4 linked regions of the Arabidopsis thaliana genome follow. The protein of the gene in region 2 interacts with the protein of the main gene of each other region in a biochemical or structural test. Each region holds a gene or a part of one and is shown on either strand. Other genes may lie near its edges.

Region 1 (7,879 bases), 120 kb from region 2:
CAATGTTCTTGTGAGATTCAGAGAGTTTCAAGTTTTTTTTTTTGGTTTTGGTTAATGAAGATTTGTTTTGGAGACAAGAGTGACGACCTTGTTATTAATAGACGTGATTTGTATTAATATTTTAAAAGATTTCACGCGACAATAATATTTTCTTTATTGTAATACTATAGAAAAAGGATTTAAGAATTTGACCGGATCAGATGATGAAGCGTTACAACTTGGTCAAAATGTCAAGATCTCAGAATTTTGTATTTAATATTTTGTTTTTTTTTTTGTTTTTGTGTGGGTGATTATAAGAAGTTTCCAGGAATAAAAGAACATCATCGATCACGTATGTTGATAACGTTGGTCTTATTGATTGACTTCCTTGGGGCATAAGCTAAAAAAGAAGTCTATCTTTCATAAATTTCCACGACGGATGTATTATTTTAAACTATATTTAGTAATTTTATAACCAAAAGCTAGTTGGAGTTTTCCAAGTATTTATGATTTAATGTATAGATATTGATGTTTTTGGCAATTTATTTGATGTGTGCATGGCAACTAATTTGATGTGTATGTGTGTGTATTATAGGAAGGGCATTTAGAAATATACAGGTTTGTAAACAGAAATTACCATCGGGTAAAGCAAGTTATAATATTTTTGCAAATTATATTTTTGTTTATAAAAGTGTTTTCCCTGAATTTAGTAATAATCATTATTTAATCACGAGTTAGGTTCGTTAACTTAGCTCGAAAGCTTGATACCATTGTTCACATAATGTTGGTGGCTTTATTAGTTAAGTTTTCTGTATTATTATGTATGCACATGTCACATGTGACACAATTAAGTGTTGTTTTGCTCGATACTACGTGTTTTATATAATATTTTCGGTTTGCCACTCTGTGTTTAGACTTTAGAGATAATTTTATAAACTATACATCATTTCATGAGACATCCCCTGTATCCTAAAGGAGAAGATGGAAAGATAAAAAGGAAAATTAAATACCAAGCAAGTGGTGTGTCTTGTGGCAGATTTTGGTCCCTCCAAAGGAGATTGAACATTGCATCCTAGTTCTATCATTTGATCATAAGTTTTGGATAAAATAGAGGATTTACAAGTATAAACTGCTTCATCATCATATGCTTATTAGTTTAATCAAATTATAGACTTAATAGTCCAACCGCAATTTCATATGGATAACTAAAACGAATTTTTGGCGGAATGGTATAGAAATGACTCAATGACATCAAACGCATAAATCAAAGAGATGATGATGAGGAACATTCATTGACTATTAATCGACGAGAAGACTTGACTTGGTCTTCTAGAATCTTTATCTCTTTGGCTCTTGATTTTTTTTTCACATCAATGGTTTCAATAATTAGTGCAGTCCTACATTTTTCCATTTACAAAAGTAAAAAAAGATTCTTATTCACACGCTGTTCATCAAAATATTTTTCCAAAGCATAAATGTTACTAATTATTGACATTTTTTCTATCATTTAAGTTAAATTTAAGTGTGTGATAGACATCAAAATATTTTTATCAAACAAAGCAATTAATACTTCTATTAATGTCACAATATACTAAGTCTGAATTCAGAATTAGGTACATGAAAGTCAAAAACACATTTATAAAAATTCTACGAATCTATGGAACATTCTATGTATCATTGAAAATTATTTCCCAAATAATTTTATTTTGATATTCTATGCATATGTTTTATTTCATGAATTTTTTTAAACAGTGTATATCTTTGTGTTAATACATTTATCTTCAAAATCATATTTAATCCAATGGTTTGCTCTTTGAACATTCGAAAATCTTCAATAAGAAAAATCACCAACAATAAGATCAGAGACAGAGTATGAAGTTTTAAGGACACATACACTTATGTACAAACGTTACAGACACTTAAGCTTGTAACCAAAAACAAAACAAAGCTCCATGACACAAACATATCACATAATTTAAAGTTATTGTTCTTCTTCTTCGACACTATTATTAACAACATTTCAAGAAGCAAACATGAAAATAAATAAGTTTAAGTTGTTGAAAGATCTCTCTGAACAGTACCTGCAAAAGACTTGATCTCAAAACTCAGAGACCTCATTGTTGTTTATGGTAGCAGCTTCTGGATGATAATGAATCATTTCCTTCCACATTAATTCTCTTATCATCTCTGCTCCCAAATCCTCGTCTTCATCTACATCGAGATCAATAGGAACTTGAGCAGGAGGATTTGCACTCGGGTCATATAAAGGCGCCATGTAAGGATGTTGAAGCGCTTCCGTGACACTAATCCTTTTCGAAGGGTCAAGAACGAGCATTTTCTGAAGCAGATCAATGGCTAAAACATTTGCACCCGGGTAAAGACGAGAGAATGATATCCCTGGTGAGTAAGGGAGTGATTCTATGTATCTTTTGGCTTTTGGGTTATCTATAAACTCGAGATCTTCCTCTCTCTGGCTACCCAAAATGTTAATGATGAGTTTAATCTGGTTTAGACATTCTGTTCCCGGGAATACTGGTTTTCTTCCAAGAAGCTCGGCGAATATGCAACCGACTGACCAGACATCAATGGAGGTTCCATAGTTGTCACAACAGAGGAGTAGCTCTGGTGCTCGGTACCATCTAGTCACAACATATTCAGTCATGAACTGACCTTTGGTGTTGCTCGTCCTCGCTAGCCCAAAGTCACATATCTTTAAGTCGCAGTTTGCATTCACAAGGAGGTTACCGGGTTTCAGATCCCGATGGAGAATGTTTGCTGAATGAATATACTTGAGCCCTCGAAGCAACTATGCAAAAGAAATAAAAAGCAAGTAAATGCAAACACCAAATGCAAACAACACACACTAATGGTAAAAGCAAATGCAAACAAATCACATACCTGGAACAAGAAGTATTGGCAATGGTCATTACTTAGAACTTGAGAAGACTTAATAATCTGATGAAGATCAGTATCCATAAGCTCATAAACAAGATAAACATCCTTAAAGCTTCTCTTATGATTAGCCATCATTACATCTTTAAGAGCAACCACATTCTCATGTCGAAGATGACGTAGAAGCTTGAGCTCCCTAAGAGTCCTCAACGCATCAATCCTATTCTCAAACACATTGTGGATCTTCTTGATCGCCACTCTCTCATTACTCTCTCTGTTAACCGAAGAGCAAACCACACCGTACGCGCCTCGGCCTATCGGTTTGATAGGCACGTATTTGGTATCGATCTCGAAAAGTGTTTGCCACATTGAGAAGTAATGCTTCCCTTGATTCCTAATTCCATTAGGTGGATCAACAGGAGTCGCCATTCTTCTACCTCCTTATAAAAACACACAACAAAAGGAATAAAAATCAAAACTTTATCGAAATTGGAACAATCCACAAATTTGAAAATATACACAACACAGAATTTTGAATTGCTTCCAACAAGTGACAATGAAAGATCAAATTTTTAGTTTTGATCTTAGGGTTCTCTAAGCTTAAGTTTACAGATTCAAAGGTTAATATTTTAGATTTCACTAATGATCAAAAGCTTTGTTTAAGAGAAAAGAACAAAAGTTGAATCTTGATCCGATGTTGAGATTGAGCTAGAACGATCTGAATTTTGCAGAGAGAGCTTACCCGTTGAGTGTTGGGGACGAATCAGATTCGTCAGTGACGATCGCCGGCGAGATTTGGGTGGAGAGAAAGAGGAAGTTGGAGAGATTTGGCTGGTGAGAGTGAGAGATTTGGTCAACGCTATGACCGTTGACTCTCTAGTTTCTCGTTCATTACCATTTTAGAGCTGTTTCTTTCTCTGTCTCCTTCACTAATCTGTCTTTAACTTTGGGCTTAATTAAGCCCAACCTGATTTGTAATAATTAACGGTAATTAGATATTTAAGATAGTGAGGAATTAACAAAAAGTGGACGTGCCGGAGTGGTTATCGGGCATGACTAGAAATCATGTGGGCTTTGCCCGCGCAGGTTCGAATCCTGCCGTTCACGTTTTTTCACTTCTTATTTTAACATCGAAACGTGATTATATAACTTCATTAGTAAATGTAAATCTAAGCTTGAAATTTATATTAGCATTTGTTCAATCACAATCTATCAATGCAAAAAAATTTCTAGTCAAAAACTCATGATACAAAGGCTTTACTATATGTACAAGACTAGTAATTGTTCGCTTGTAAAAATCGTTCTGAGTTTTGTCCTTCAATGGCGGTAAATTTTCAAAACTTGTTGTATTCGTTCCCGGCAAAGAGGACAGGTCCTTAGTTGCAAGGAGCATGGTGTGCAGCAGCACATATGACCACACCTACAAGTCCAAACCAAACAAAAAGAGGAATCAAAAGATGCCATGTTTGATCAGTGAGAGGGTTTTCAAGAGCTTTTAGAAGAAAAGCGGTCTTATACTTACTCAACAAAAGCGGTGTTATACTTCTGGTCAAGGCAAACCACACAGAGATCAGGTGTATCACCATCTCTGCTTGTACCACCTGGTAAGACGTTTTTGTAAGCAGAGCAATTCCAAGTGTATGCAGAAAAAGGATTCACATGTTACTACTACAAAGTACAAACTCTAATGGATAGATACTATTACTACCTCCAGTTACTGGTTTGGCTCTCCTAGCAGCTGCATCAACAACTCTGCAACAAGTTACCCAACACTTAACTCGCAACTCGCAACTCGCAATGAATACTTCATACGTGGCTGTGGTTAGGGTGCGTCATACCTTTTCAGTGCGAATTGTCGCCGCCTTCTTTCTAGAGTATCTTCAATTCTCTTTAGAATATATTCAATCACAGGCTTTGAAATAAGAATCACACCAAGAACAGTTAAACCCATGGAGGCATACTTGAACCTCCTGCCAAAAGAAAGAGATCTTTTAGAATTTTTTTCAATCATAGTTTTCGAAGAAAAGAATAGGCAAAAACAGAGAAAAGAAACAACCTTGACAAATCTCCCAATTTAGAGATGAGCTGATCTAGCGGTATATAAGTGACGTAGAAAGGTCCTTGCTCAGGTTTTTGAATCCTGACATTCCCCATGCCATCCCTAACAGCCTGTTAACATGGTAAGCAACATAACAAAGAGAGATATAAAACGTATTTTGGACCGCTAACAGATAAAAGACATACCTCACCAACAACTGTAAGCGGTGTACCAATTGGGACAACACGCTCAACGTGTCTTACTCCAAGTATCTATAGACAACAATGGTGCCACAATGTATAAGCATTGTCAAAACAAAAGCAAATCAATGAAAAGTGGTAGGAAAGGAAAAGAAAAGACCTTAAAGCCTTTAAGATAACCCAACGCTCCTTGAACAAGCGATACCGGCTCTGCCTTTTCAAATACATCACTACCAACCGTCAACGCCAAGCCTAATTCACCTTGAGATACATCTACATTCACACGACCTGTCCCGTCGTCCTATAGGCAACCAATATCATATTTTGTAAATGACTTTAGAAAGTAATACACTCCAATCAAAGTCCAACAGACATACCAGATACCAGGGGACTTCCTTAGTCATCGGCTGCATCAATGTACTATTTCGAACCCATGAAAATCTCCAATTACGTCTCAAAACCTGTTGTTCTGCCTGAAAAAAATCGTTTCTTTTTAACATATCCAAAATCACAGAAACGAAAAACTAGATTATCTAATCCAATTCATACATACCGTTCTCTTGAGAAATACACCGAGAACATAACTATGCTCACACTTAATAGGAGTCTCAGAGCCAACATCTCCTGATACTGCGATGATCAAAGGTACCACCTTGCTCTCTACTTCTACTAATTGTTCTGAATAAAAACGAATGATATCAAACACATAACCAAAACCCATCCACCTAAAATTGAAATGCAGAACAATGCAGGAACATTACCCAAATCCTTGAGTTGGTAAACCCTAGTGATTGATTTGATATCTCTGTCCCACGAAAGAAGAACATTACCACCGAATAACAGTAAACCCTAGTTATCGTAATTCGTAAATAGTAAAGACAAGAAAAAAAACCTAACCTGCCTGTGCTCCTGGTAAGAAGATAAAGAGCGACGCCGCCTAAGCAACATGTAAATCCAGCCAAATGTATCATCTTCTTCCACTGTACACACTGATTCCTTCACGAGATCACTATTTGTCGGCCACTTTACTTCTTTCGCCGAGAAACCAGAAACCGATCAAAATTTTCAGGCAGAGAGAGAAAGTGAAGTCGAATAGGGATGAATTTTTTAATTAATTCTTTTTTGCTAAATATGAAAAAACTAATTAATGCAGAAATATTGTTTGACCAATACTATTTTGATTGTTAAAAGGGTTTTCTAAAGGAATTAGGGCTTGATTGGTTCTCCCCCTCTGCTACCAATAGTAATTGATTTGAGAAAGTCATTTAACTTTAAGATTTCTTTCAATAACATTTTTCCTTTTAAAAAACTAATTAATCAAAAGAAAAGAAATTAATTAATCAAAATGAATGTTTCACAAATTTAATCAAGAAGATATTCAAGTTAATATATCCTAGGATTTTTTGCAAATTAACAAATTTAAAACAAATAATACTCATATTTAACATTTTTTAGAAAACCCCATTAATAATTACTTCTACTAATTAATATTTAATCAACAACAATAAAAATTTATATTTTTTGTTAAATAACAAATAATACATTCTAATATAATATGGAAACCGAATAAAAACCTACGCTTGCCGTGTACCGCGGGATGAATCCTAATATTTATCAATATGTAACTAAAAAAAATTCCAATTGTAAAAAGTTTAGCGTGATTTAAAAAAAAGTTCATTGAATTATTTTATAGGCATAGACCGATAAAGTTTAAGTAAAAAACGATAAAGTTATTATAAACAAAACAAAAAAGTGATAAGGAAATTTCCGATTTTTTCTCGAACCAAATTGGAGTGAAAAAAGGAAGAAAAACAATACTATCAAGTTCTCTATATAAACAAAGAAATAGAAGCAAAGACGTACAAAACAAAAGATTAAAACTCATACAAATTTGTTCTCTCTTTCTCTTTGAACGGCAAAACAATGGAGAGTAACTATCAGAGAACACTGGTCTCAGCTTTCCTCAATATCTCTGTAGATCAAACTGTGGAAACCGCTATAAAGTGTCTAAAGTCTACAAATTGGAAGCTTGAAGATGCCATCAATCTCTTATTTGCCATCGACAGAATGAGAAATAATCAAACTTTGACACTAAAACCTTCCGACTCTACTAGATTGCCTTCCTTGTCTCCTCCTCCTCCTCTAAATCTGCTTTTTAATGGTTCGTTCGAAGACGCGAAACTAGCTTCTTCTAGCAAAGATCTATGGTTGCTTGTTCATATCCAATCCGAAACTGAGTTTCCTTGTAATACATTTAACCGAGATTTATGGTCAAACGAAGACGTTTCTCAAGCCCTTGAGTTTAGGTTTATGTTATGGCAAGTTTATGATCATACCAGTGAAGGAAGAAAAATCACTAGCTTCTATATGATCCAACACTGTGCTCCTCCTATGCTGCTCCTTAGTCCTTATCGATCCGATTACTGGCCAGAATATATGTATATGGAGGGGCGAGATTAAAGCTAAGGGTTTTCTTAAGGATTTGAAGAAGTATATTGATGCTAGTCCTCACGAACATATTGCTTCTACGGCAAGGAACATGCGCGTAAAAGCAGAAAAGATTTGCCACTCTGATCAACAAGACATGGTTGGTTTTACGGACGATGATTTTGACGATTTTGATGAGGCAGCTGATGAAAAGACTTAAATCTCATACATAAGGGGAATTTGTCATCAGATAGCGTCGTGGTTTCTTCTTGCGGGCGAGAATTTGATGATGTAGTGACTTTATCCGAAGATGAGGAGGAAACTTGTTTGTCAAGCGACCTGT
Region 2 (6,740 bases):
GAATCTTCAAGTACGAGATGTCTTAGGTTCTCCTATGATTTGTAGCCTAATTAGTTTTAGTTTTAAAAATAGATCAGTATTGATAATTACCTCTCAAGAGCTAAATTCTAATGTAGTTATCTTAATTGCTTCCCTTGATAAAAATAAACAAATATATTTTAATTTCTCGTGTCTACTACTTTATTACAGAATTTGATTTAAGAAAGATGGTGGCACCCACAGAGATTAAATTTGAGGTAGAATGGTCCAACATACAACAAGGTTTTACCAAGCTGATAAGAATGATAGAAGGAGAGTCTGAACCAGCATTTAATCAGGAAATTATGATGATGATGCATACGTGCGTAGGTCGTCTTATGTAATGTTTGGAGTCTTATTATATAATGTTTGTAATTACCACAACTATTTCTTGTGTGATTCACAGGGCTACTTACCGTATATGCGCCTACAAGAACCCTCAACAGCTTTATGATAAGTATCGTGAATTAATTGAGAATTATGCAATCCAAACGGTGAGTACCAATGTGTGAAGAAGACACATTTTTTTTTTGACATAAAACAAAAAAAGAGTTAATATAATTTCTTTTTTTTATCTGTGGTTAAGGTGTTGCCATCTTTAAGGGAAAAGCATGATGAATGTATGCTACGAGAGCTTGCTAAGAGGTGGAATGCCCATAAACTTTTGGTTAGATTATTTAGCAGAAGGTTGGTCTATTTAGACGATTCCTTTCTTTCTAAAAAAGGCCTTCCATCACTGAGGGAAGTTGGCTTGAATTGCTTCCGCGACCAGGTTTGACATGCATATACCTATATATAGGTTCTAATTTTTCTCTGCTTCGAAAGTATTTTCTAACGGTCTGTAACTACGTACTTTAGGTTTATCGTGAAATGCAGTCCATGGCCGCAGAAGCTATATTAGCACTTGTAAGTAATGTTATCTGTATTGATAAAAAAAATCTCTTGTTCTGCCTGATCTTTTTTTTCCTCTCGAAACAATATTTGTATTGCCAGATTCATAAAGAACGTGAGGGTGAACAAATTGATAGAGAACTTGTGAGAAACGTAATAGATGTCTTTGTTGAGAATGGGATGGGAACTCTAAAAAAATATGAAGAGGATTTTGAAAGGCTCATGCTTCAAGATACTGCTTCTTACTATTCTAGCAAGGCATCAAGGTGGATCCAAGAGGAGTCTTGTCTTGATTACACGCTAAAGGCATATCTCTAGATATCACTTTTGGAACTGTTTTTCAATTCGATTTCAAGAAAGTATGTTTGTTAATACATGTTAGTAATTTTATGTTGCAGCCTCAACAGTGTTTACAAAGGGAGAGGGAGAGAGTCACTCACTACCTTCATCCAACCACTGAACCCAAACTATTTGAGGTTCGTTATGGTATCATTATTTGGAATTAATCATATTTTTCTACGGGAGATTTTAGCGTTTGAACTTAGTGACATGGTTATATCTGGTAGCATTTTGAGGATATGTAATAGTTATTGGCTTTTTATTTTTTTCCACAATATTATATATTGAGTGATCATTTTTTTCTATTGACGCATTGCAGGTATTGAAAGAGGCATTTCAAATCTTAAAGAGGGGTGGAGGAAGTAAGAAGCTTAAGTGATAAAGATATACTTAAGTAAAGCAAGTGAGAAGCTTAGCATTGAAGTTTGAAAATTTGGGTCAATAATAATTATCTTGCTAGTGTCGCTAAAAATTTGGCAATTTAAAATAAAATCATTTTTATACAATCACTATCATTTCATGCATACTCGTTTTCAAGTTAAACTAAGATTAGCTTTTGTATTTTCCTTCCAAATCGATTAGGCTAAAAGGTTAATAAGGTTTTCAGATTAATATGGGGCGTCCTAAAAAAACATTCATCGGTTTAGTAACTGACGTATAATTGCTTCTTTGATTGCAAAACAAAAGTTTTTAGCAAAACGAAATATATATGTTTCTGAATAAGAGGGTATAACAAGACAAACTTTGGTAATCAATAGCGACTTTGACAAAATATTTCACCAGGAATTTTGTTCATTGGAGGGTGATTTAGCTTTTGTTGACTGGTTTGGGACTGCATGCTAATTGACAGAGGAAAACAACAACCCGACTTCAGAAAGTACCAAATAGCTAACAGCTATAACTGAGCCTAAAACTATGAAAAAACAAGACCAATCAAAGCTTAAAGTGATATTGCATCAAATTAAACACAAACAATTTTGTCTACATAATTCTCAAACCCTTCACTAATTAGATGCTTTATATAAAAGATATCAACCAAAACGATTTTAGTATTTCAACTCCAGCCAATCAATATCTCAGAAATAATGTTATTTAGTATGTGACAAAGCATGTTCTAGTCTTTAGAGTCACTAGAGAGCCCAAATGGTGAAGTTTTTTGCAGTTGGATTGTTTTTTGCAGTTGAGTGTGTTGAAACTGTCAAGAAATAATGGTAAATGTGGAATATCTATCCAATGATCATTACATTGATGATTCTTGTTCCATAGATTTCTTCTCTTTTTTGTTCATGATAATTTATTTACAGATTGTGACATATGCACAAGTGTTGTGCAAAGAATTGAGAGATCCTCTTTTGTTGTATGTCTAAAACATTCTTAGTTTTATCGATCAAAGTAATTAAAGTACATGAACAATTTTATGGTATCTATGTTGTGGCTCAGCATCATGTGTTTACCAAATGTTCACATTTTCTTAAACATGCTCTTTTTCACACTCGGATCAACTTATTCAATCTTAACTTAAAATAGAGTATTTAAAACACTTACTGAGACAATGTTGTGTTTAAACAGAAATGATATCAAACAACTGAACAAGCAAATGAGAGACACATATTTGCATAAACTAATAAATTTTTATGTTACTACTCCCAAATCAGTCCATGATGGCTAATTCTTCATCCTCATATGTATTATTCAAGCAGCTGTATAAACATAAATTTTTTGACTCAGAAGCTTAATTAAAATTTTGATCTTTACAGTTTTCGAAATGCTTACCTCAGGATAAATAACAAGAGTAAATAAGGATTGCTTGAAGTTCAAGCCTCCAAGGTGTTGGACTCAAATTTGTGTTGGATTGAAGAATTTGGAAGATCGTCTCTCAATTGGGGTTTAAGCGAATTTTGATCAGTTGGGTAATTATCCAATCTTTTGGGGACTACGTTGGACGGTTTGTGGGATTTTATCTCTGAAAGCAGTGTTTTCATTGAAAAATTGGGAAGATCGATTGTCTCTTAGATTTTTACCAATTACATGAGTTGTGAGTTAATTAGGGTATCGTATCTGACCAGTTGTGTTTATGTTCTGCTTTGTGTTGTCCATTTTTTGGGACTATGTGTAAATATTATTACTTTCTAAAGCAAATATGTATCTAAATAAAAATAATTGACTTAAGCCAAATAACAAAATTGACAAAACCAATTCCATTTATCCCATTAACCGGTTATAACGTTAGCAATCATAAGAAAAATAGAAATCACCTTAAGACTGCATCGTTTATAAAATATTTTGTTGGAAAATATTGAGGAAAAAATAGAAAATAGGATCGAGCTAAAAAAGGAAAATATCACTACGAGATCTAATTAAAAGACCTCACAAGATTTCGGACGCGCATATTAGATATGATTTTTTACGCGTGTTTCACCAAATTATGACCGTTGTGGTGGCCTGTGGGATTGAGGAAACCTAATCTTCTAAGTCTCTATATATTAAAGAGTCATCATAGCCTTCTCGTTGCACTTCCCATTACGATCGAAAGGTCTCTGCTTTTTTTCCTCTCTCACGATTTGATCAAAGTTTCGTCTTCTCTCTCTCTCTCAAAAGATGGCTCCTCGTCAGAAGAAACCTAACAAGTCTGATGATGATGATGATTTGCGTAGGAAGAAACAGAGCTTTTTCAAACAGAGATTTCCAGGCTTTAAGAAGAAAGCCTCTGAGCTCTCTGTTCTCTGCGGCAACTCTGTCGGTTTCATCTGTTACGGTCCCGACAGCGATCTTCATGTTTGGCCTCAGTCTCAAGATCATAACCCACAAGCCCTACATGAGATCGTTGCCAAGTTCAATGCCTTGAGTGATGAGAGGAGGAAGAATCATGCATGTGATCTCAATGACTTCCCTCATCATCTCAAGGGTTTGTCTCGTGAGGAGTTAAGGAAGCATCTCCTTCACCTTGACTCTCAATTACTTGGAGTCAGGGAACAAAAGATAGAAATTCTTAAGAAGACGCTCACGGGTTCTTCCGAAAAAGATGGTGCTAGGGTTTCAGAGAACTCGGCCATCTCCGATCACAAGTTGAAGATAGAGCCTCATTTGAAGGATATATTGTCGGAAGATCATCTAATTAGGGTTTCAGATAAGAAGCTGGGTTCGTGTGATGTATTTGACGAGTTGGCTTACGTGGTCCGCGGGTCAAGGAATTTGAACGAGAATGTTTCCAAGTACGAATCAAAAGATGCAGATAACACGGGACTGGATCATCTTGTAACTTTAGGCGGTGATTATCTTCAGGAGGCGGCAGCAGAACTTTACCAAACTTACAATCTAGGGAATTTTTGTGATGATCATGTTTGGGATCTGGAGTTTGCCTCAAGACTACCACTACTTCATACTTTTAGCGATCCTCTCATGACCACCAATACTTGCCAAACGATGAGCACCGATATGATTTCAATTTGATAACTTGATGACTACGTTAGTGAAACATGTTTCTTTCACCTTTTCTCGGTGATTGATCATTTTTTAGTATCTAAACTTGTATGTTTGCTCCAACACAAATCTATTTTTGTAAAGTTTTGGTAGTGTTTTCTTGTTTATTATTGATTAATCAAACTTTTCCTTTCTTTCTGTTACTTAAATGCTGGGCTTGATAGTAGTATAAGAAATTTGTCCACAAAGCACACCGCAAAGTTCCAAAAGCTAAAACCCTTGTACCTTGGAGTCTCTGCATGTGAGAAAGGAATATGAGAGTTAAAAAGAGTTTTTTCGTAAGACACCAAATCATCTACAATGACGATGAGCGCAACTTTCTATCAGTGAGCTTGCAAGCTAGCGTTCTTGACTTCAGAAATGTGATTATGATTAATAGTTGAGTTAATCTTCCTTACCAACTTTAAAGAAAGAAAACAATCACTATGTCATACATTCTTCAGGGGTTAAACATGTCGGATATGAAAGTAACCAAAAGAATCCTCATTGAGATAAGCAAGTAATACCTTCCAACCTGCGAAATTGTTCTTGTCTGGTGATTCTAAACAGAAAGAATCTTATTCTTGTTTTAGCTCTTTTGTTCTAGACTAGACACTAGTGAAAGTGAAATTTCAAGAAAGGTTACAGGATCATACCTTTTGTTTGGTGGAAACAGAGGATTCTGAAATTCCTGGCTGTGGTCACATACATACATCAATCACATATTTACTAGTTTCTAATGAGAAAGTTCAGCTTGGATTCAGTTCATCTTCTCTCATCTTTAAGGTCCGAACTATGTCCAAACTTTGGCAATATATTTCAACAAAGACTCTAACATTCTTATATGTGAGTATGTGACGTTGTATCTCAGTAACTTGCTCATCCAACTCTCTGCGAATATTCAGATTCTTGATTCAGGAGCTCCCAAAACTTCGGAATTCCAAATGACGTACACAATTGCCTAAAACACAAGTCTCCTGCTTAACCATGAATAGTTGAGTGAATCAAAATCTCACTGAACAACGTTGTACAAGAAATCAAAGTTCACGATCAAACTTACAAGCATATCCATGAAGATAAATGAGCGAAAACTAATTACTTGGCGTATATATCAGTTTTGACGTTTGGAGCTGGGAAGAAAAATGAAACTGCAAATCAAATAATGTCACCACATTAAATTATTTCTGATCGTGTCATTATTCAACTGATAGCTGTTATTATTTCTGGTCAACCTCTTATTTGTTGTCTCTTAGTAAAAGTTTTCTTCTAGATTGAACAATGTTTTAAAATTTTGACAAGAAGAAAAATTAATTGTTTACCGATTTAAAGACAAGAAAGATCTAAGTTAGTGTATATTTAATTAATGCAGCTTTAGTTTTTTTTGTTATTTGGTATTTTGTCAACAATTTTTTTTTTATAATATAATGTTCATTCCACGATCTTCGGAATTGTGCACATCCGTCGTTCACCAACATAATTCAAAGGAACCAGCCAATTAAACTTAGAAAAATATTGATGCCCATGTCACAACAACGAAGACCGTTGAAACGACGGTGTTTTACACAGCCAACGAACAAGTCCAGCATGGCGGTTTTTGAGAACCAATAAGAAATTAAATGTATTGTTTACTCTCTAGAGTAAATTTATTAATTTTTAAAGAATTCATAATATTCCATAAATTAATAAGTTTACTAGCAACAAAAAGGTCTGAAGTCTGTATCTGACGATCACGCGGCCTAATTGCGCGTGGCAATTTCTTCAACGCGGATTTTTTTTTTCCTGCCATTTCTTGCATCAACGCGGATTAAAAAAAAAAAAAAAAGTGTTTTCGGTAATAACCCGAAAGAGAAAATACGTATCGGAAAAAATGCAAAATTTTCAAAAACATTTAATTTTAATTTTAATTTCAAGCCAAATTCGGGAGCGACTTTCCAAAGACGAACAAAGCCATTGAAACGGAAGAGAAGGCTGCTCCTTTGGTCCTCTCTGTTTCTACCGTCGATTCAGATCTCTGCCTCTCGCAATCGAATCAA
Region 3 (8,028 bases), on a different chromosome or scaffold from region 2:
GGGGAATGTACAAAGAACAAAAAAAGTGAGAGAAAGAGAAATGGAGAAGAGAATCAATGGTTGGTCAAAGAGAAAACAAAAACATGTGGTGTGTAGCTTTCAAAGAAAAGATTACGAGATATTTTTGGATAGATTTCATTCTCACTTTTCTCTCTCACCAATCTCTCATTCAGAGGTAATTTTATCCTTTTTTTTGTTCTTCTATATCCATCATCATGATCAATACTCTTACGTGTTTGCTTTCGATATATTATCGAATGGAGAATTTGGTTAAAGATTGTGTTTATGATTGGAATGTGTTTTGAGTCTTGCAGGCAATTGGAAAGGACTTTGGTTATTATAAGAACACTCTTTTGTAGAGTGCTCTTCTCGCCTATATAACACATCATGTCTCTCAACGTTGGTAAGTGTTTTTTTTTTGTCCCATTGATTTGTTAGGAATCTTTTTTTCTTGTTATTACCTTTCCTGACGAATGTGAATTTTTGGATCTTACTTGATAAGATCTTGACGTATGTGTTTTGGAGAGACCCAATGTGTGTTCTTTTAAAAAGAGGAGTTGCTCCAAGTTGAGTTGTTCCTTGACGAAGAAGAGAAGAAGTAGCAAGGTGATGTCCGTGGAGATCTTCGAGGATGAGCATGACGCGGAGGAGTTAAAGGTGGTTGATGCATTCCGCCAAGTGCTTATTCTCGATGAACTACTTCCGGACAAACATGATGATTACCATATGATGCTTAGGTCTATCTTGGAATATATCATGCCAATGTGCATCTATGTCCATTATTAGCTTGAATGTTTCTTCATTTTTCAGGTTTTTGAAGGCTAGAAAATTTGATCTTGAGAAAACAAATCAAATGTGGTCTGACATGCTCCGATGGAGGAAGGAGTTTGGTGCTGACACAGTTATGGAGGTGTGAATTCATAGAGTTTCTTTATGAATGCAAGAAGGTGCATTGTGGTTGAAAACAATGTTCTTACTCTTTTTTTTTTCTTTGTATCTCTTAGGATTTTGAATTTAAGGAAATTGATGAAGTGTTGAAATACTACCCTCAAGGACACCATGGAGTCGACAAGGAAGGAAGACCGGTGTACATTGAGAGGCTAGGTCAAGTAGACTCTACCAAGTTGATGCAAGTCACAACCATGGATAGATATGTGAACTACCATGTGATGGAGTTTGAGAGGACTTTCAATGTTAAGTTCCCAGCATGCTCCATCGCGGCAAAGAAGCACATTGATCAAAGTACAACAATTCTTGATGTCCAAGGAGTGGTACGTACATAACTGAATGGTCATTTGTAGAAACTATAATAGCCAATAATGACCAAAAATGGTGTATATATGATAAAAGGGGCTGAAAAACTTCAACAAGGCAGCAAGGGATTTGATTACGCGTCTTCAAAAGGTCGATGGTGACAACTATCCAGAGGTGCACTTTATATTATTATCATCATTGGTTTATCTTTTATGAATGATTCTTGCTCTCTCAACTTTTTTTTTTCATTTATCTGTCATTGGCTCAGACCTTGAACAGGATGTTTATCATCAATGCTGGCTCAGGATTCAGGATGTTGTGGAACACGGTTAAGTCTTTCCTTGACCCAAAGACTACAGCAAAGATCCATGCAAGTATACAAACCCTTTTTATCACTCTTGACTGATATAAATGAGAGATATTCTTACTACTTAGCTAATTTGATATTCAGGTTCTTGGCAACAAGTACCAAAGCAAGTTGCTTGAAATAATTGATGCTAGGTGAGCTCTGCAAAAAGTTTCTGCATGAACACTCAAAAGATTAGTATTTCTCGAATGACAGACTTCTCATTTTTCTTTGTATCAGTGAGCTGCCTGAGTTCTTGGGAGGTTCTTGTACTTGTGCTGACAATGGGGGTTGCATGCGCTCGGACAAAGGACCATGGAACAATCCAGATATTATGAAGGTTTGTTTTCTACAACTTCTTTGATCTAGTAAAGCAACAACAACACTCATAGTTAGTTTCTTTCTTTCTATATGAAAACTAAGATGATTGTCACCGTAAACCTAACAGAGAGTTAATAATGGTGACCACATATGCTCAAAGAGATCTCAAGCTGATAATGCTGGAGAGAATATTATCTCTCAGGGGAATAACTCTGCAGTTGAGGAAGCTCCTGAAACTGACCAGTCACAGCCCTCTCCTTGTCAAAATGTAAGAATGACACTATTTTCCTTCATGAGGCTTGTATTCTCCTTATATTTCTTCCCACATCTCAGGTCGTGGTTGCTCATCCAGCTTGGAACATACCAGAAGCTCACAAATTTTCCCTCTCAAAAAGTATAAGAGATCATGTGCAAATTACACTACTAAAGAGACAAATACTACTCCTTTTTAAAAGAACTTGAATTTAAGTACTTCTCTGTTTTTGAACAGGGGATGTTTACGCCATTCAAGAAGCTTGCAAAGCTACAAATGAAAGTGGAAGGTCTCCTATTTTCACTGGAGTCATGGCTTTTGTAATGGGTGTAGTCACCATGATTAGAGTGACTAAAAACGTTCCAAGGAAGCTAACCGAGTCAACTATATACTCTAGCCCGGTTTACTGCGACGAAAACTCGATGAACAAGAGCTCGATGCATGGGAAGAAAATGGCAACAACAACCATCTCAGGGGAAGATTTCATGGCGGTCATGAAACGAATGGCTGAGCTTGAGCAGAAAGTCACAAACTTGAGTGCACAGCCAGCAACTATGCCTCCTGAAAAGGAAGAGATGCTTAATGCTGCCATTAGCCGAGCCGATTTCTTGGAACAAGAACTTGCTGCAACCAAGAAGGTAACACAAAACAAAAAAAACTTTCATATATATTACTGATTTGTTCTCAGCTTTCACTATCTCACACTAAAGAGTTGTTGTATCTTCACAGGCTCTTGATGATTCTCTTACCCGACAAGAGGACCTTGTGGCATACGTTGAGAGAAAGAAGAAGAAGAAGAAGCTGGTCCGCTTTCAAATCAATGCCTACTTAACTAATTTTTGTTTTGGTGTTTAAAATGGTGTTCTGTTTTACTTTTTATCTCCATGTGCAGTTCACTTGGTAAGTGAGGAACATGAGGAAGAAGAAGCCTCTAGTGGAGTTAGAGGTGGCCAATGCACTCATGTCATTAACTTAAATCTTACAGTCACATTAAAATTAAGAGAATCTCCAAAGAAAGAATTTTGTTATGTCTCTGTATATATATATCATCCTTAGATGTTACCACTTATCCGCATCATATGCGAGATCATGTTTGATTTGTACAAAAGAAAACAATGAATTTATAAGAAATATATTTTGTAAAGTAGTTTTGTACAAAAGATTAGTGTGCAAACATTTTTAACATCAACGTATAAAATTCAAGTACACTTTATATAAACTAAATTACTAGGGTTGAAGATGAATTGGGGCTTGATGGTTTGGAGAGACAGAATCTTCGAAGATCTATGGAGAAACTCAAAGTTGATTGATAATCTGCGTTCGTCAACTGATAGGTTTACTCAACCATTTGCCACTCAAATTAGTTATGTCATCATCTGATGTTAAATCCATCAGCCACACTTATCCTTTTTTTAATCTAATCCTCAAACCTCTCCGAAAGAGACAGAAGGTCTTCAAACCAAGAGTGGTTTTGTAGTTGACCACTTTTTGAGGCTTTTAAGTTAGGTTTAACTACACCCAGTGGAAACTTCGGTTCGGACAACAACAAGAAGTTGCTCCCAATCTACGTTTACCACGTGTCACTTTTTCAGTCCACCCACGTGCTTAGCCGGTTACTTGATCCATTTAAATCCTCAATTTCTGTATTCGTGTACGTATATTATACCAAGACAAATTCTACTTAATAAATATCTTACTCAATCTTTTTAATTAATTACAAAAATTCCTATGCATTATTTTTTTCTAATTACCAAATATAGTAATAACAATCCTGATTTGTATGCAAAAAAAAAACATGAAGAGTCCATTAAACTTTAGAGATTTTTTAATTAAAGATAGTTTGTAACTGAAGTTTTGTTACACAAAAAATATCTAATCTAAAAAGAATGTCGTTTTCGTAATTAGAAGACTTTGTAATTTGTTTTTTTCCTAAAAAACGAAAAGAAGTAACCAAAGCTTCTTCATCAACCAACGTATTTTGCTTCCTTTCTTCTTCTTCTTCTTCCTCTTCCCCTAACATTCCATTCCCCGTATGGGTCTCACCACTTCCTAACTCTTCTCTCTCTTATCTCTTCTTGTTTTAGCTATGAAGAAGCAATCTCAATTCAGATCCAATCATACCCTTCTCTTCTTTCATCTCTGATCATTAACAACAACAACAACGACTCGGGTTCTGTAAATTCAGTTATTGGGTATGTTCGATCTCTTGTTCTGTTTCTTCTCTTTATTCATTTAGCTTGTTTTAACTCTTAATTTTTGAGTTTTGATTATGATTAATCAAGAGTTATCATATTAAAAAGAGAATTTTTATAACCAAAGTTTGCTTTTTTCTTATGGAGTAGTAAGATTGATAGCTAAGTAAAGGAAACGATATTAAAAAGAGAATTTTTCTTAGTTGAATTTCACTTTTTGGAGACGTAAAGGAGAAAAAAGCTTCAATGATTCATAAATCGAAAATTCTCTATAAACCCTTTTCCAAAATCTTACCAATTTAGGGGAAAAATACTGAAAGTTTTGGTTTTTGCAGAGAGAAAATGGCGATGTTAGTTGAGCCACCAAATGGGATTAAGCAACAAGGGAAACATTACTACTCCATGTGGCAAACATTGTTCGAAATCGATACAAAGTATGTTCCGATTAAACCCATTGGAAGAGGAGCTTATGGTGTGGTTTGTTCTTCTATCAATCGTGAGACTAATGAGAGAGTTGCTATTAAAAAGATTCACAATGTGTTTGAGAATCGTGTTGATGCTTTGAGAACGTTGAGGGAACTTAAACTTCTTAGGCATGTGAGGCATGAGAATGTGATCGCGCTTAAAGATGTTATGTTGCCTGCTAATAGATCCAGTTTCAAGGATGTTTATTTGGTTTATGAGCTAATGGATACTGATCTTCATCAGATTATTAAATCCTCTCAGTCTCTTTCTGATGATCACTGCAAGTACTTCTTGTTTCAGGTAACTTTAAGTCCTTCCTCGGTAACTCTATGTTTCGAGTTTTGTATGTTTAGTTATTGAAATAAGTCTTGTTCTTGTTGTTGTGTTTAGTTGCTTAGAGGGTTGAAGTATCTTCATTCTGCAAACATACTTCACCGGGATTTGAAGCCCGGGAACCTCTTAGTTAATGCGAACTGCGATCTCAAGATTTGTGATTTCGGGTTGGCGAGAACGAGCCAAGGTAATGAACAGTTCATGACTGAGTATGTGGTTACACGTTGGTACAGAGCACCTGAGCTTCTTCTTTGTTGTGATAACTATGGAACCTCCATTGATGTATGGTCGGTTGGTTGCATATTCGCGGAGATTCTTGGTAGGAAACCGATTTTTCCAGGAACAGAATGCTTGAATCAGCTTAAGCTAATCATCAACGTTGTTGGTAGCCAACAAGAATCTGATATTCGGTTCATAGACAACCCGAAAGCTCGAAGGTTTATAAAGTCTCTTCCGTACTCAAGAGGAACTCATCTCTCCAATCTTTATCCACAAGCCAATCCTCTAGCTATAGATTTGTTACAGAGGATGCTTGTGTTTGATCCAACCAAGAGAATCTCTGTAACCGATGCGCTCTTACACCCGTATATGGCGGGGTTGTTTGATCCTGGATCCAATCCGCCTGCACATGTCCCAATCTCTCTGGACATAGATGAAAACATGGAGGAACCAGTGATAAGAGAGATGATGTGGAATGAGATGCTTTATTACCACCCTGAAGCTGAAATCTCAAATGCCTAAATCAACATCAATGATCATTAAGAGTAAGCTTTTTCCAGTTTTTTTTTTTTTTGCTTTCTAAAATGCAGCTTTGATGTTATGTTATATATAGCGAGTCCACAAACGCGGGAACAGATCGATAAAAAGCCCGGTGCTTTGATCTCGTCTGGTTTGATTTAGTTGCAGTGAGTGAGTAGTAGTAACAGAGTTTGAAAAGTGGCTCTCAGTATCTTTACCACTTTGTAAATGTGACTGTTTGTTACTAAGTAAGTTAAGGCTTGTTTTTGTTACATTATCTTTGAGTTGATGAGTTTTACTACTGATTTTCAGGCCAACTCTTGTATTTTGTATAGCTTTGCCATTGCCCACTTGCTAGCCACACGAAATAATTTTTTATAGTTTAGATACTCTCATACTATAAAGTATAAACTAATAAAAGTATAGATGTTATTTTCTCTAGTTTTTATCCTACCTTTAAAAAGCCGCCAAACATGTTTTCAATTCATTATAAGGGAAGATTGGATAATGTGTCACTTCATATTTTTCGTTCTTTTTAGTACTACCAAAACAATTTCAGAATATATTAGTAATCTTATAAATAATGATCTAAGGAAGTGTGCTATTTTTTTCAGTTCCAATATGAAGACTAGTGTGTTTTAAAAATACTTTATTTTATAAGTGTATTTATTTCAAAGGTGAATTAGCTAAATAACCAATTCCTGAAAAGAAATTAAATATCTAGCACCATAAGTTGCCGAATTCAGAGAGTAACACATGAGGTGTGTGTAATGACAACACACTCTTTCACCACACACTCCTTCACCCAACTCTTTCATTCATGTTTAAGGCGCGTGAAGAAAACAGAAGTGTAGTGAATTATGCTGACGTGGTCTTTTAAGGAACAATAAAAGTTTAAGTTATGTTGAGAAGAGAAAAGAGAAATATGATTAAAATATGTTCACCCTTTTTAATATTGTTTACTATATTATGTTAACAATATTAATTGGTTAAATTAATAATACTATTAAAAAAACAGATTTTTTTTGTGTATCTAATATGATTTGAATTTTAAAAATCGGATACGAATTTCTTAAAAAATGAATAGTGATACCAAATTCTATACATATCATCATAGAAAAATAGAATAGTACTCCCTATGTTCCTTTTTGTTTGATTTTTTAGAAAAAAAAATTGTTTCTAAAAGATTGATTTTTTAGGTTTTCAATGCAATAGTTATTAGTTATAATTGAGAAATTGTAAACTTCAATACAAATTATTGAATATAATTGGTTTAGAGTTATTGAAAATTGTAAATCCCAAAGAACAATACATTTAAAAGCAACATTTAATATGTTTTATTAATATTTGTGTTTTTTCTAAAAAATCAAACAAAAAGGAACAGAGGGAGTATATATTTGTTCAAACCAAAACTTTGATTCCGATGAATCCAAATAATCAATTAAATATTTTTTGATGGAAGGATACTAAACCCTAAGATAATATATAGGGAACCCAAGGGTTTTAATCTAAAATAATGATTAAATCACTTAACATCCTTAATCAAAACAAACAATTCGTTTTAAAACGTATATAGTACAATGTATACGTAAATAGTATATTCACAAAATAGAAAAGTATCTCTCAAAAATCTTCCAAAATCAAAATCGATTTATTGGCTATTTCCCTTTAGAATTTCCAACATCGTAAACCCTTTATCGCTTCTAGATCTAAGAAATCCATAACATGATTGTCAATTTGTTATTCATAATTCTCAATTTTATTTTCCATGGATTTACAAATTAAAATTCTCATATGAACTTTGATGGGAAAGTGAAGATTAATTTGACATAATTGGCGAAAAGATTTCCCCGGATTTTTCTAGTATTCTCTGGCTGACGAAGAATAAATATAGTCAGAGTATTATTGCGCTAATGGTGTTGTTATAAAATAGAGTAAATCAGATTTGAGTGATCCTATCGACATTTAAGATTGATCCATATATAATTTTGACTTTTGTTCAGTTGATGGTGATGTATGTAAAGATTCGTAAGAAAAGGGAGAGAGAGATGAAAGAAGCACACTTCATAAAAGAGAAGAAAATTTATTCACTAGGATGTCTTTTGAAGAAGAAAGAAGAAGGAGAG
Region 4 (7,534 bases), about 19 Mb from region 2:
CCAAAATCTTGAATACTATTTTTAATTTCAATTTCAATCTAAATCATATAATATATCCTCCAGCCTTATCGTGCTATTTCCTTAAAAGAAAACCAAACGTGAGCATGTATAATAAACAAAGAAATAGTACAGGTTGTCCAAACAACAAGAAATCAAAACTCCAAACTAAAAAAATTTCATTTACAGATCATCAATTAGACGAAAGTTGTACACAAATGAATCAAGAAACACTTTACCACGACCAACAAAAATAATCAGTTTGAATAGTTTACATTTCACTAGCATTAGAGAAAGGAGAAACAAAGAAGAAGAATTTACGTATCTTTCTGTCTCAAAATTAACAACTATGGACAAAACAGAGAAGACAGAACAAAAGAAACCAAGGAAAATGTTAGATGAAACGAATAAAAGAAATTCACAAAAAAAGAAAAAGTTTTGATTTTCGTCACCGGGTTTCACTTTTATCAGGAGCAGCTCTGTTTTCAATATTTAGTTTCTTCCTCCTCTTCGTCTCGTATGTTGATCCTCTGTTTCTGCTCTGTTCCTTGATCATTGGAACCAAGTACCAAACGATACAAGTGCACATGATCGAGACGGTCCGTCCGAAAAACACCAATAATATTAGAACCAGCACCACTGTCACGGGTAATAAATGGTTTGGTCTTGAAATCTTCTTCAGATTCTCATTCAATACACAGCTCTGTTTCTGCTCTGTTTCCAAATCTGTTTGCTTTATTTCTTTTTCCTGCTCTGTTTTTGATTCGGTCTTTACATTGAAATCATCTAGAACATCCTTATTCTTGACCTTGAAATCATCTAGAACGTCCTTCTTCTTGACCTTGAAATCATCTAGAACATCCTTCTTCTGACTTGCCCTCTTTGTCTTGATCATTACAGGGACGCACTCGCCGGAGCTAGTGAAGACAAACCGAACAAGAGGCGGTCCATCAGGATCAAGCCTCTTTGCGTAAATGCTCTGTCTTTTCTCATCGAGCTCAGATAGAAGTGCAGAGAACTTGTCAAGTCCTTGATTTGAATAAGGATTCTTGCTTTCTTTGTTTCCTCTTCTCGATCTCCTAGGTGACGAAAACGGACTCAACATATCAAATCAATTCAGTCCAATCAACAATATCCTCTTTTTTTTTTTTCTGTTACTGGTCCTTTGTGTGGAGAGGTTGTGAGAATTTGAGAGCTTGAAGGAATTTGGTTACGGAGGAGTTGTTAGGCAGGATTTAGTATTTGGACAAGAGAGACGGCTTTATTGTTATCATAATGAGACTTGTCTTAAACTAATTGTAAATATTTCAGATACACAAATGGATTGGTGATTTGACCAGATCTCATTAAATGTGATGAATTGATCAGATCACGTATTGTTGACACTTTTTTTGTTCTCTTTTAGGACGAATAGAAGATAAGTTTCTACCAAATGAAACGTCATCCCAGATGTATTTTGCTGATCTTACAAATTGACTTTCTTGCGGAAGAAGCTGCAAAAAAATTTCCATGATGGTGTAATCATATTTTTTTGGTTTATCATAAGTAATTGACTAATTGTTAATTTAACTTAGTTTTGACTTGGGGAGAAAGAAAGACAAAAGTGATTCAACCATAAACATATAGTTGGAATATTCATTGTTAATTTAAATTTCTGATGGGTTTACAAAAATTGGAAAATCCTCCAAGTTATTTATATACTATGAAAAGAAAAATGAATTATGAGAAGGAAAGTTGGTGTAGAAGAAAAAGCTTTTAGCCTTTAAGGCTTTTTAACCAATAGAAGCAACATATCATGTGTTGACAAAAAAATGAAGCATATCATGTGATAAATGAATGAGGAGGGTACTGATACTACTCACCAAAATTATCTTATAGAACTTCATTAAGAAATTGAAAGAAAAACAATACATTGTTTTTGTTACGATTTGGAAAGTTAGGTTCGGTGCAAAGGCCTACCCCTTCTATGAATCCGAAGGCCTATGATCATGGTGTGATCATCAAATATTCATATAACAAAATGCTTAATTGTTGATATTCTTAGATTTAAGCTATATGAGAACAACTATATGAAAACTTGATTCATCAAAAGGCTTGGATTGCATGAGAGGGTTAAAAGTTCTGCAAGAACGCAACAAACAAACAGAGAAACAGAAACACAGCTCTCTCTATGAACATATGTTACAGACACACATCAAGCTTGTAATTAAAAAAAAAACACAGCTCTTTCTATGTACATATGTTACAGACACACATCAAACTTGTAATTAAAAAAAAAAAACAGCTCTCTCTATGTACATATGTTACAGACACACATCAAGCTTGTAATTAAATAAAACAGAGCTTCCATGGCATCACTATTCGCTTAAACTATAAGTTAGTCTTCATCTTATTTTTCAAGACTATATACACTATGAGTCTATGATGACAATCAGACATAAGAAGAAGAAGTTTTCTGTAAATTACCCGTACAAACAAGACTTGAGCTCAGAGCTCAGTGTTTAAGGTTGAAGCTTGTGGATGGTAGTGAAGCATCTCATTCCACATCATTTCTCTTATCATCTCCTCTCTCAAATCCTCATCTACATCGAGATCGATAGGAACTTGAGCAGGAGGGTTTGCATTCGGGTCATATAGAGGCGCCATGTATGGATGCTGGAGTGCTTCAGAGACACTAATCCTCTTTGACGGATCAAAAACAAGCATTTTCTGCAGAAGGTCGATGGCCAAAACATGAGCGCCCGGGTAAAGTCTGGATAAAGACATCCCAGGTGAGTACGGAAGTGATCTAATGTATCTTTTAGCTTTCGGGTTATCTATGAACTCAAGATCTTCTTCTCTTTGGCTTCCGAGAATGTTGACAATGAGCTTCAGCTGGTTAAGACATTCCGTTCCTTGGAATATCGGTTTCCTACCAAGAAGCTCGGCGAAAATGCAACCAACAGACCAAACATCAATGGATGTTCCATAGTTGTCACAACAGAGGAGAAGCTCTGGGGCTCGGTACCAACGAGTCACAACATATTCAGTCATGAACTGACCCTTGGTGTTGCTCGCACGCGCTAGTCCAAAATCGCATATCTTTAAATCGCAGTTTGCGTTGACAAGAAGGTTACCAGGTTTCAAATCTCGGTGCAGGATATTGGCTGAATGAATATACTTGAGCCCTCGAAGCAACTACACAAAAAGAACAAAGCAAAGCAAAATTTCAGGAGAAAGCAAAGCTAGAACCAACAGTAAATGAACGGGATCAACCACACACCTGGAACAAGAAGTATTGGCAATGATCGTTACTAAGAACTTGAGAAGACTTGATAATCTGGTGGAGATCAGTGTCCATGAGCTCATAAACAAGATAAACATCCTTGAAGCTCATCTTATGAATTGGCATCATGACATCTTTCAAAGCAATGACATTCTCATGTCGAAGATGGCGTAGAAGCTTGAGCTCCCGAAGAGTCCTCAACGCATCGATCCTATTCTCATAAACATTGTGAATCTTCTTGATAGCAACTTTCTCGTTGGTGTCACTGTTAACAGAGGAGCAGACAACACCGTAAGCTCCACGACCAATAGGCTTGATAGGCATGTACTTAGTGTCGATCTCGAACAGAGTTTGCCACATTGAGAAGTAATGCTTCCCTTCATTCCTTATCCCATTAGGAGGATCAACCAAAGTCGCCATTTTTTGTTTTCCCTCTTCATCACAATTCACACACAATCAAGAAATCAAATTTACACACACAATTAACAAATTATTATACTAACTATTTATCAAAACTTTTCAAGTGATAAGTTACTGTAGATTTCTTGTGTAAACAGATTGGTCTGTTAATAATAGTGAAAAGGAAAAAGATCAAACTTTATCGATTTGGTGAAGGAACATAAACGATCGGAATCAATGGGAAAAAAGTTTACGGGATAAAGCGGGAAGGAAATTCTAACCGGTGATAAGTGACCAACGACGTTCCCCGGAGGTTAGATTTGGCCGGAGAGAGAAACCTGTGGAAGTGAGAGAGATTTGGCCAACGCTCGGACAGTTGACCTGCTACTTGTTCGTTACTAGGTAGTCTTTCCTTATATAATTTGGGCTTAAGTTGAGCCCAATTAATATTGGCAAACAGATTCACGTCTCTATCTTCTAAAATCAATTTCGGTATTTTTTAGTAACTGATCACCAAAGTAGCATCATTTGTGAATATGTGTTCTACGAAGATTTATAAAAATTGAAAATGAAGAAAAGTATTTTAAAGTAAAATATATCATAAATGTAAACAATGACACATGACTAAAATATTGCATCACCAATTCACCATCTTCTTTTGCTTTAACTTTACGTTTCCATCACACATCTTTTCATTTTGCTAAAATTAGCATCTAGAGGAAAATAAACTACAAAAGATTTAAAAGTTTTCATTAAGTCAGATTATTAATATAAGAGAGGAGGCCCATGCAGACAGAAAGGGAAAGCCCATAAATCTAAGCAGTGGCAAAAATGTTAGAAACTGTATAAAATGATACTAATAAATTGGTTGGAGTCTATTATAGTAGCAAATAAAAATAACGTTAGGTATTTTTGATTAAATAAAAGATGTTAGGTATCATTATGATCACTCATTCTCTTCAACCAATTATGTCAATACTACAGCTCATCAAAAGCCTTTATGGTAAAGCATGTTTCAGATATTTTCATTATTCATATACACACTACACAACATATAGTATTAAAGAAAATAAATAGTGTATAGATATTTAGAGATTTCCAACTAATTCAACATAACCAATACAGCTTTTAATCATTATCTAAAACCAGACAAAGATTCTTTCCAGTTGGTTTTCCCTGTTCTATTTCCTTACAAACAGTTATTGACTATTGAGCATTGCCTTCACTGTTGAGAAAAATTTGTGTAAATCTTACGCACTGTCAAGCAACTGCATGCATTCTCTAAATAATTACCTGACTCTAGATATAAAAGAACTGAATTAATGTAAAAAAAATATAAGCAAAATATCTAGGAGACAGATATTGACGGGTTACTTCAAGTTTGGACAAAAATAATTAAGAACACAAAAAATGCCGTTGAAACCTTTTCTTTTTGTAGTACAGTTTTTAGTTTTGTTGCTAACGTTCAAATTATTTATTTATTCATCGCTTATCTTGTTTTGTGGATTAGACAACCACGAAAAACAATGCTAGGGTTGTCAGAAACACCAAATATTCGAATTTGCATCCAAAATTCGATACTCATCTTGAACTTTTTTGTTTGTGACATTTTATTAAAAATTTCAATTTTTCCTAAAAGAATTTTACTTTAAATATTTAAAAAGAAGAAGCATGTTCATTTTTCAATATATCTGGTCCCCATATTAAAACAAGCAACAATAATTGACAATCTCTTTCTTTCATCTTCATCTTATTCTTCTTTATCTCTCTCTCTCTCTCAAGACTATTGAGCTTCTTTCTTTTTTCCTGAGTCTTTTAGTCTGATCTCTTACAAGAATGGCGTTCGCAGGAACAACCCAGAAATGCATGGCATGTGACAAAACAGTTTATCTTGTCGACAAGTTAACCGCCGATAACCGGGTCTACCACAAAGCTTGTTTCCGATGTCACCATTGCAAAGGAACTCTCAAGGTTTGATCTTTGATTCTAGTTTGTGATGATTTCTCATTAATCCAGAAGTAGATCTAGTAGATATATATGTAGATGAAGAAGTCCAATCAATTAAGTAGAAATCTTTGAATTTTTGGCTATGGAAACTGATTGGTCTAAAGATTTGACTGTTCTGTTTCTTCTTCTTCTTCTTCTTCTTCTTGATGAGTCAGCTTAGCAATTACAACTCCTTTGAAGGAGTTCTCTACTGCAGACCACATTTCGATCAAAACTTCAAGAGAACTGGAAGTCTTGAGAAAAGCTTCGAAGGTAAATTACCAAAAACAGATCAAAATGTGAAAAGCTTTGTGAGTGGGGATTTCAAATTTGGAATTATCTATCTAAAGTTTGATTCATATATATGTACAGGGACACCAAAGATTGGGAAACCTGATAGGCCTTTGGAGGGAGAGGTACTTTCGGACAGCAGAACAAAACCCTTTTTCTGTTTTTGAGGTTCTTGAATTTTTTTAACATTTAACATGAGAGAAGTTTAACAGAGACCTGCTGGAACCAAAGTTTCGAATATGTTTGGTGGAACACGAGAGAAATGCGTTGGTTGCGACAAAACCGTGTATCCAATTGAGAAGGTATCCAATCTCAAATCTTTCCTGATCAGAATCAAGTTGTGTCAAAGAAGATTGTTAGATTGTTTCCATAACGAATCTGATCTGTTCTTGGCTTAAACCAGAGCTGAAACATTGCTTATAATGTGGACTTTGTGTAGGTATCGGTGAATGGAACATTGTACCACAAGAGCTGCTTCAAGTGTACACATGGAGGCTGCACGATAAGCCCTTCGAATTACATAGCTCACGAGGGTAAGCTATATTGCAAGCATCATCATATTCAGCTGATCAAGGAGAAAGGAAACTTGAGCCAGCTCGAAGGAGGAGGAGAGAATGCCGCCAAGGACAAAGTCGTCGCTGCTTAAAGAAACAATTCAATCTCTCTGGGATGATTTTGACTATCGAAGAATCAAAAGAGTCACTACTTCTCCATCGATCGATAACATATATTGGTTTTGTTTCTTCCTACGTTTGTGTTTTTCTTTTTGGTCTTTAATATGTTTTTTTTTTTTTGGGACCTTTGTTCACTCTTTTATTGGGTTTCTTGAAATGAAACTAGAGAAACAAAGAAATAATGGATGTTTGCTTATGAGATATATATGTATTACGTTCATATGATATAAATTAATTTTCGTGAAGTTTAAGCTTCAGCTAAATGATCGATTCAATTGCTACCATCGTTGATTCAGGTTATTGATAATTTGTTACTCTTGGCAGAGAGGATGATGAAGTCGCGTGAAGATAGAGGATGGAGATGTAAACATATTGGGCTAATTCCTTACAAATGTTAACATAGATTAAAAACATAAAATAAAACAAACAAATAAGGGTAACAAACCGAAACAAGAGAGACAACCCATAACATTAATAGGCCCAACGACCAAACCCATGAGTCCCAACTCGGAGGAGACCAATCGACGAAAACCCCTACACAAGAGGCGCACTAACACAGAAAACAACCCTTTGCCGAAACTCAATCGGAGAAGGCTAACAAAAATTTTGCAAAGTACTTCGTGAACTTGAATTTGTAAAAACAAAACATATTGATTCATGGATTTTTTGTTTTAATGTTATTGTCTTCAAGGAAAAATCGGGAAAATAATGGCTACTATAGATATAATACAATGATATGAAATTAATTACAAGTAGAAAGTAGACATACTTATTAGCCCTATTGTAAATCTACCAAAATGATTTAAATCAATGGTATTATGTGTTAATTCATAATATTAACAGATTTTTATCTCAGGAATTGTTGAACAAACACTAATTACTTTTGGTCAATGCTAATTGATTAATCTACCATAAAACTCTT

The links.
Region 1: of the proteins of AGL50 (region 2) and MPK2, one has a biochemical effect on the other in vitro, tested with the Arabidopsis thaliana proteins (one large-scale study listed by BioGRID).
Region 3: of the proteins of AGL50 (region 2) and MPK7, one has a biochemical effect on the other in vitro, tested with the Arabidopsis thaliana proteins (one large-scale study listed by BioGRID).
Region 4: of the proteins of AGL50 (region 2) and MPK1, one has a biochemical effect on the other in vitro, tested with the Arabidopsis thaliana proteins (one large-scale study listed by BioGRID).

What each region holds. Positions count from the first base shown.
Region 1 is NC_003070.9:21,879,942-21,887,820, reverse strand, and holds MPK2 (mitogen-activated protein kinase homolog 2), read right to left. Parts: upstream 3,804-7,879; 5' UTR 3,614-3,803; intron 3,312-3,613; 5' UTR 3,301-3,311; coding exon 2,878-3,300; intron 2,786-2,877; coding exon 2,078-2,785; 3' UTR 1,770-2,077; downstream 1-1,769. Other genes in the region: ZCF61 (E3 Ubiquitin ligase family protein), read right to left, coding at 4,189-4,291, 4,394-4,472, 4,580-4,623, 4,710-4,841, 4,928-5,040, 5,116-5,181, 5,270-5,410, 5,487-5,582 and 3 more; AT1G59550 (UBX domain-containing protein), read left to right, coding at 7,033-7,415, 7,558-7,696, 7,771-7,879.
Region 2 is NC_003070.9:22,004,758-22,011,497, forward strand, and holds AGL50 (AGAMOUS-like 50), read left to right. Parts: upstream 1-3,749; 5' UTR 3,750-3,846; coding exon 3,847-4,698; downstream 4,699-6,740. Other genes in the region: AT1G59800 (Cullin family protein), read left to right, coding at 207-340, 425-512, 605-790, 877-924, 1,012-1,215, 1,308-1,415.
Region 3 is NC_003071.7:7,906,055-7,914,082, reverse strand, and holds MPK7 (MAP kinase 7), read left to right. Parts: upstream 1-4,042; 5' UTR 4,043-4,366; intron 4,367-4,701; 5' UTR 4,702-4,708; coding exon 4,709-5,131; intron 5,132-5,221; coding exon 5,222-5,905; 3' UTR 5,906-6,309; downstream 6,310-8,028. Other genes in the region: AT2G18180 (Sec14p-like phosphatidylinositol transfer family protein), read left to right, coding at 388-403, 503-737, 811-910, 1,005-1,271, 1,351-1,428, 1,523-1,624, 1,706-1,755, 1,841-1,940 and 4 more. UniProt on the Arabidopsis thaliana protein: MKK3-MPK7 module acts as a positive regulator of PR1 gene expression.
Region 4 is NC_003070.9:3,345,727-3,353,260, reverse strand, and holds MPK1 (mitogen-activated protein kinase 1), read right to left. Parts: upstream 4,180-7,534; 5' UTR 3,943-4,179; exon of another isoform or gene 3,697-3,942; 5' UTR 3,683-3,696; coding exon 3,260-3,682; intron 3,175-3,259; coding exon 2,485-3,174; 3' UTR 2,081-2,484; downstream 1-2,080. Other genes in the region: AT1G10220 (ZCF37), read right to left, coding at 446-1,102; WLIM1 (GATA type zinc finger transcription factor family protein), read left to right, coding at 5,498-5,632, 5,824-5,920, 6,020-6,063, 6,151-6,240, 6,378-6,584.